2 linked regions of the Sus scrofa genome follow. The protein of the gene in region 1 interacts with the protein of each later gene in a pairwise test. Links are inferred from orthologs where the notes say so. Each region holds a gene or a part of one and is shown on either strand. Other genes may lie near its edges. The genes, in order: RPP30 and RPP14.

Region 1 (3,816 bases):
TAATGTAATGAACATTTATTGGATGTTTTCATTTTTAACTGCATGTATTCATTGTAATTGCTGAAGAGTAAAATTTATCCCCATTCCTTTGGGGCTGCACGTTTTGTTTATATAAATAGTTTTTCCTTTATAATTGTGGCAAAATGCTTTTCAAAGATCTTTTATATTTTCAAAGGCTTAAGAAACCCATCAGAATTATAAGGACTTAAATTTATGCAGTTGACATCCTTATTTTTAGATACTTAAGCATCCTATTTACTGAAAATGATATCATTGAAATGTTATGAATAACTTCCCTCATATCTATTTTTTGTTCATTTTATTTTAGCCTTTAGAAATAAGAGGCCCATACGACGTGGCAAACTTGTATCCTTTTCTGAGTAAGAAGTCATTGAAATTTTCTTTAGGAAATTTGGAATTTGGCATGTTATTCTTTAACAAATTTTTTTTTAATCTTTTTTTTATATGAATGTGTCAGTTAATAGCTTCAAAAACAGGTTATATCAAGTTGTAGAGGGTGTCATCCTTTTGTTTCCAGATTGAGGATGAAATAAGAAAAAAGGAAGAAAGGACTCTATAAAAGCTTAGAGTTAAATGAGTCTCGTCTCAAATGCATATTCCGTTTGGACTAAAACCATGGAATTAAAGTGTCTCTCTCTTGGTGTGACCAGGCAAGTTGGCATTTTCAGTTATGTTTCTGTTAGTCTCGTGTCCTCGGCTGACTCTGGGTTGAAATCCTTAACAACCTCACCAGAGGGTTGCTGTTCGGGCTGTCTGAAAGCGATGCCAAGGCCGCAGTGTCTACCAACTGCCGAGCAGTGCTTCTCCATGGAGGTGAGCAAGTTCTTCCAAGAAAAACGCCTCGTGCTCATGTTTAGAGCCAGTTGTTTCTATCAAACTGCCGGGCCATATCTACTTTTATCATCTTGCCCCCACAGAGTTCCTTCAGGGTCATCTTTTCTCAACCTGATTAAGCATACCCATCAATGCTTTCTCACCCTTTACTTCAGGCTTTATTTTCTGTAGTTTGTGGAACGAATATAGTTCGCCTTGCAGAGAAGGGTATTGGATGTGGCTGCCTTCTTTCAGGATCTGCGTGTGCATTTCCCCACCTGCATTTTCATGGGCTTCTAATCGCCCTTTCTCCTCCAGAGGGACATCTTTCCCTGCTGAAGATCACTGTTTAGAGAACAGGAAAGTTAAAAATACTTGTTAAGCCATTTATGAGGAACGCAGAAACACCAAGTACATTTTTAAAAATCCAGCTAACAAACTCAAAGCCTAAGTTTTCACATTTATTACAACTTGTGATTCTTTTCTTATTTTTTGTTTATACATGTTCAGGAATGCACAGATGATACATTTTTTACTCACATTTCATTTACCATGTATCTACCTCCTCACCTTGAATTCCACTGCTTGAAAGCACTGAATTTCTTATTCATCAGATGATAAAAATTGAACTAGAAGTTTTTGATATGCCAGGACTTTGGAGAATGAAGATGAGGTTTTATTAAAAGAAAAAAGCGTATACTTCTCATCTGCTGTTTTATCTTCATTCTCTTTGTAATTTTAGCAGTGGTCAGGAAGCAGTCTACTTGGTACCACCCAGGTGAACTTTAAATTTCAGAACTGGTTGCTACGTCTAGACTAAGTATGAATAGTTAGATTGAGGGCTTGTGTGTTGGATTTCAATGATCTGATTTCCACTTGGGAGAACTGGTTACTGTATTGACTTAACCGTAAAATAGATGATTTTGCTTTTGTATTCAACAGTTTTAGTTTGAGATTGTTGCCTTAACCCATTACATACATTCTGGAAATGACCAAATTAACTAGAATTTTATCAAGATTTTCTTGAAATTAGGGAACAGTTGGTTCACACTGGTAGTTCTGCCATTATTTTTGTCTATTTTAAGTGCGTGTAAGGAGTCATCAAGATTTTGGATAACAATTAGTGTTCCAAAACAGACCAAGTCAAGAAAGGGAAACTAATTTTAAAAATGCAGTAGGGGAAAATATGAAGTTCTGCTCTCGACTTCAGACAACTCAGCTGTTTAACATAAGAAATCTGCGTAAAACTAGGCTATTATAGAAGCCAAACTAAAAGAAGTCTTGTGGGCTTTAGGTCTAGCCCCGGCCCTGCTCTCCTTCCTGCCTCCACCTCCAGGGAGCCCGCGGGTGGTGACGGGGAGGCCTAGGGCCTGGTTCACAGCCGAGGTGGCAGAGCCTCTGGAGAGGGACGGCAGGCGTCCTGGCTCGGAATGCCCCCCAGCCTCAGGGTGAAGGCACAGCTGCTCCTTGGTGGGTGCAGCCCACTGGCACAGCTCAGCGCGGTCCCTGCCCTCCGCCCTCCCATGTCCCGCACAGAAATAAAAGGCACTCGGCCGTCCTGCCTGGTCAAAAAACAAAACAAAACAAAACAAAAACATTCACCCTCGTGTGCCCAGGACAATGCTACTTATTAGCTTATGCCTGCTGTCCTTGCTGAATTCATAACACATCTGCAGGGTAATGATACCCTGGTTTTAGTTGACACTGGGATCAGTGTCACATAGTAGTGTGGTGGGTTCCCAGGACTGCTAATTCCTCCTAAGGTTGCATGAGAGGAAATGCAAGATTCTGAGGCAAGAGAATTCAGGGTCTCATTATTTTTGTCTGCACTGCTAAGTCCTAGCTGGTCTCTGTATCATCCTGAGTGCCCCATTTAAGGACAGCGCTGCAGTGAAGCACTACCAGAAGGTGGTTAATAGATTCTCAGAGGGTCTGGAAACCTCACCCTGAGAGCAGTTGTTGAAAGCAGTGCAGGAATAGATTCCTGGAAAACAGAAGATGGGGCACACAGTAGCAGCAGTTCCACATTGGGAGCTTGCTACAGGGAATCACAAATAAGTGGTCCTGGGGGTTCTAGAAACCACTGAACAGCGATTCTAAGGAGGTCATGAGGAAAGGACAGCAAAGAGGTTCAAGGTCCAAAAATTACCTTATCTGATAGCTATAAAACTCGGGGTTTTCAGTGGTTTATAATCTGTCAGCTTAGATTAAGAAGGAAATGTTCATGTGATTAAAAAAGAGAACATTTCTGAGATGGAACTAAAATAATTTTGAAACTAATGCATTTTGTTTTATTACTGAGTGTTGGCTTTCGCAATTTATTCATTCTACTGATTTTTGGACTTTTACTCATAATCATAGTGATATAAATAAACTTCTCTAAATGCAACATTTTTTATTTGGCGAAATGGAAATCATTGGCAATTTCTCTTTATTTTGAGGTTCTCTGAATATGTTGGCATTTTAATGACCTTGACAGCGGTTTTGTCCCTTTTATAAATTAAGATGCTCTTAAATAACTGGCAAAGATTTAGTAGACTTGGTAAATTGATTCTATTAACTGAGAAGGTAATGTTTAACTCTTTATTTTTTATTTTTATTTTTTTGTCTTTTTAGGGCCACACCTGCAGCACATGGAGGTTCCCAGGCTAGGGATAGAATCGGAGCTGTAACTTATGGCCTAAGCCACAGCCATAGCCACATAGGATCTGAGCTGTGTCTGCAACCTACACCACAGCTCATGCCAACTCACCCATTGAGTGAGGCCAGAGATTGAACCTGCGTCCTCCATGGATGCTAGTCAGATCCATTTCCACTGAACCACGACAGGAATTCCAATGTTTAACTCTTTAGAATTGACTTTACTGAAGTTCCCGTCATGACACAGCAGAAACTAATCCAACTAGGAACCATGAGGTTTCAGGTTCAATCCCTGACCTTGCTCAGTGGGTTAAGGATCCGGCATTGCTGTGAGCTGTGGTG
Region 2 (4,326 bases), on another chromosome or scaffold:
GCTGCTTTACATGAGCAAATGTATCCATATTTCTGATGTATACAATGTGCATATCCACAGCAAATGGGACAGAAGCTACAAAATGTTTCACCTAGGTTCAGATTAAGCATTGCACCTAATGAAGAAAGATTTAGTCTTCAGATTTTTCTTCGATTTTAGAATTGCAGATAAGGGACAGTGAGTCTGCATTTTCTTTTTTTTTTTTTTTTTTTTGTCTTTTTGTCTTTTGTTGTTGTTGTTGTTGCTATTTCTTGGGCCGCTCCTGCGGCATATGGAGGTTCCCAGGCTAGGGGTTGAATCGGAGCTGTAGCCACCGGCCTACGCCAGAGCCACAGCAAGGCGGGATCCGAGCCGTGTCTGCAACCTACACCACAGCTCACGGCAACGCCGGATCCTTAACCCACTGAGCAAGGGCAGGGACCGAACCCGCAACCTCATCGTTCCTAGTAGGATTCGTTAACCACTGCGCCACGACGGGAACTCCTGAGTCTGCATTTTCTACCTCCTCTCTCCAACCTTGGCAGATGGGGGTGGGAGGTGACATCTTAAGGAAGTCTATTCTTCCATGTGAAAGGAGAGGCATGCAGAAGGGTATGGTCCAAGACTCCCTCTTGGGAGCCTAAATTTTACTTACTATCAGTATTATAAAAATGATGCCCTATCACTTTAAAAGAAATCAAACAAAAACGAATGCTGAAACAATGTGAGGATCTCTTACACCCTCCACACAGCCCAATCCTTCCTCCATCAGTCCCCTTGGGACCCATCTAGACATTATACTTATGTGTCTATGTATGTATGTGCATACCTAGACACAGACACATGTCTAACTGGAGGAGGCTGTTACCACCGAACCTAAGTTCGACTGCTTGCCGCTTGAAAGGCTAATAGTGCCTGGCATACGTAAGCATTTGATTAATATTAGCTATTAATACTACTATTATTATTAATCCACACTGTATGGGGTTTTGTTTATTTCATGAATACAAGTGCCCTATCTTTTGTTTCCAACATCTAGCACATAATACGGGCTCAGTAAGTACTTATTTAATAAACGAATAAATGAAACTATTGTCTTAGATTTGGAAATAGGGCTATCTGGGACTTTTCATGTCAATCCAGACAGAAAAACTATGTGCTATGAGCCAAAAGAGACACTGAGAACGGGTCTTGCCCTTGGGGAATACTTTACATAGGAGATGCTCAGCAGAAGAAATGCTAGATACAATTTTTCTGAACGAATGAATACCTGAGTAAATGAATGACTAAGAAAAAAGCTCTCAGTCTGAATACGCCCTCAGTCACACACGGCTTGCCGCACCAGAGGCTGAGTGGGCACGAGAGGGCGCTAAGCCTGGCGAGCTTCAGATCCCGAGTCACGCCCGGGTCCTTCGGGAAAACGCCGCGCTGTGACGTCATATCCGCCCGAGCCGTCACGCATCCGGGGTCGGGGCAGACAGAAGCCAAACGTAAAGACCCCGGAGTTTTCTAGTTCGTGCTTAGGCTCCAGCCTTTGCCGAGAGGTTCCAAGCCTTGAGGGATTCTTGCAGTGAATAGGAGTCAGGCTAATCTCTCGGAGAGCAGGTAGACGGAAGTACGTAGTAGCGTGGCTGTTTTCCGGCAGTGGACTTAGTTGGCCGCGCTAGTGACGCGTGGATGCGCGCGCCAGGAAGGCACGCGCAAGGCGGGAGCGACGGCAGGCAGCGCGGAGACGCCTGAGGTACCTATACAGCTCAGGTCGCTCAGCGCCCCAGGCCGAAGGCGAGGCGGTGCTGAGAATCTCCTTGGGCTTTTGTACAACGTGGTCTTTTTTGCAGAGGGCGGCGGGAGGACTGAACGGGACCACATGTGCAGGGGGCATGCACTCGGCCCCAGGTGGGCGCCCAGTCGACGCCGACGGTCATCGAAAAAAGTTAGCCTGCTTTACTTATTGTTTAAAACAGTTCAGGTGTCGAGTTCCACTGTTGTGGCAGCGTGGAAACGAATCCGACTAGTAACCATTATGTTGCTGGTTCGGTCCCTGGCCTCGCTCAGTGAGTGGGTTAAGGATACTGCGTTCCTGTGGCTGTGGTGTAAGGCTGGCAGCCCTAGCTTCCATTCGATCCCTAACCTGGAACCTCCATATGCTTTAGGTGCAACTCTAAAAAGCAAAATAAAACAAAACACCAGCCTAAGTGGCTGATAGCTTAACAATTTAATCTCCAAACAGTAGAGGACCGAGCTTTTTAAAATTTTTATATCGTTTATGTCCTGTAATTACATACTGAGTGCCTACTGTATGTGATGCACTGTTTTAGCCTCCTGGGAAACAGCAGAAAACAAGGGAAAGATGCCTGTTTCTCTTTGGATTGTACATTCTGGTAAGGCCGGGGTGGGAGGGGGGAGGAGCAGGGCGGAGTGCAGACGAGAATTAAAGAATTTCAGAGTTTCCTGGTGGCTCAGCGGGTTAAGGATCTGGTGTTGTCACTGCTATGGGGTGGTTCGACCCCAGAACTAACCCCTCGCCGCCAACGCACCCCACCCCTCCAAAAAATAAGTGGATTTCATAGTTATGTTCTGTATACCTACAGAGTGGTGTATGCTCTGAGGAAAAAATAGAGCAGTGGCGTGGGGGGGTGACATTAGATAGAAATGCCACTGGAACACATTGAGGGGTGAAATTGAGTAAAGCTATGGAGGAGGCAAGGGAATGAACCATGTGGCTGTCTGGAGGAAGAGTATTTTCAGCGAATGGAAAAGCTGGGAGGGAAAGAGCTAGGAGGCCTGTGTGGTAGAAGAGACTGAGCAGAGGAGAGTGGTAGGACAGGAGGTCAGAGGGATGGGAGGAAGCAATGGTACAGATCAGGTTGGACCTTAGATGTAAAGACTTTGGCTTTACTCAAGGCTTCAAGCCTTGAGGAAAGGGGCTTATTAAGGTTTTAATAGGGTCACCCGGTTAGATTAGGGAGGGAAGCAGGGACATCTACTGCTAATAGATAAGGTAATGAGCATCCTTGCAGCCATCAAAAAGGCCGGCTTCAGAGATGATGATAATGACAGCCACTTAGAAGTGTTCACATTTTCCCAGTGAGCCTGGTGAATGAATATACTGGGCTGTAGGGAGGGCTTCCCAGGCATCATCTCCTTTAGTTTCAGGACAACCTGCAGAGGGCGGTGCTGTCACTCTGAGACCCAGGCCTGTCAGAGGTGACTGCTCAATAAACACTTGCTCCTACAGTTTTTTTTTTAATATAAAATAAACATAATGAAAAATTTACTATTTCTAAATATACACTTCATTGGCAAGAAGTATAGTCACATAGTTGTACAACTATAACCACTATCCATTTCCAGAATACTCCTTAAGTCTTCTTTGTTATTGGCATCCTAAGCCCCAGGCCCAATCTCACTCTACCTCAGGCAGCCACCTCCACTAAGGCAATCAGTAATGTTTAATAAACACCTATTGTGTGCCAGGCAATGAATGAAATGATTGAGGATACTGTCCTCCCTGCCCTTCCAGTCAGGGGAGATTGTAGTGATTGAGAAGGGAGCACCGTGAACTACTGCAGTCCTGAAACAAGAGTTCCCACTGTGGCAAAGTAGGTCAAGGATCCAGCATTGCTGTAGCTGCATCTCAGATTTGATCCCTGGCCCAGGAACTACATGTGCTGTGGGCGCGATGGAAAAAGAAAAGAGAAATGAGACACCCTTGAATGCTACCACCATTTAATCAGTCATGTATTCAATAAGTGTTTGTTGAATACTCTGTGCCAGACTCAGGAAATACTCATATTTGTTGAATAGGTGGTTGGATGTAGTGGCTTTGACCTTGACTTCTCATTTTCTCTTGAGGTTGTCTTCTGGGAGTGGTTGGAACTGGGACCGGAGAGGTTTTTGTGAATGCTGGTCTACAGCTATGTGACCTTGGAAAAGTTCCTTTCCTTGGATAGGCTTCAATTTCCTGTCCCTTTAGTTGGGGGAACCACATATTAAACAAAGACAATGTTAAGAGATGACATACCAAGGGAGCCTAACTTACAGCAAGGTGTCAGAGAAGGGCTCTCCGAAGAAGTGATGTTCCTAGAAGAGGTGAACTTTAAGCTGGAATTTGAAGGATGAGTAGGAGCTATCCAGAGTGGAGTGAGGTGGGTGAGGAACCCAGGATAGGGGTTCTCTTCAGGGGGAACAGCATGTACTGAGCTCTTCCAAGTTCCAGATCTATTGGGAATGGCTTGAGTGCCCATTCCAGGAATTCCTTTAAGACCTTTGCTGTTTAATCTGTCTTCACAAGGCTGACAGATAGCCCTATGCAGGCCTGGCCTCTGGACTGAGAGAATAGGCAGA

What was found.
Region 2: the proteins of RPP30 (region 1) and RPP14 interact in binary tests that used the Homo sapiens proteins (3 or more experiments, as listed by UniProt). The link is inferred for Sus scrofa from reciprocal best matches to the Homo sapiens genes RPP30 and RPP14.

What each region holds. Positions count from the first base shown.
Region 1 is NC_010456.5:102,589,771-102,593,586, forward strand, and holds part of RPP30 (ribonuclease P protein subunit p30), read left to right. Parts: intron 1-328; coding exon 329-366; intron 367-754; coding exon 755-834; intron 835-3,816. UniProt on the Homo sapiens protein: Component of ribonuclease P, a ribonucleoprotein complex that generates mature tRNA molecules by cleaving their 5'-ends. Also a component of the MRP ribonuclease complex, which cleaves pre-rRNA sequences.
Region 2 is NC_010455.5:40,060,727-40,065,052, forward strand, and holds the start of RPP14 (ribonuclease P protein subunit p14), read left to right. Parts: upstream 1-1,451; 5' UTR 1,452-1,720; intron 1,721-1,731; exon of another isoform or gene 1,732-1,912; intron 1,913-4,326. UniProt on the Homo sapiens protein: Component of ribonuclease P, a ribonucleoprotein complex that generates mature tRNA molecules by cleaving their 5'-ends.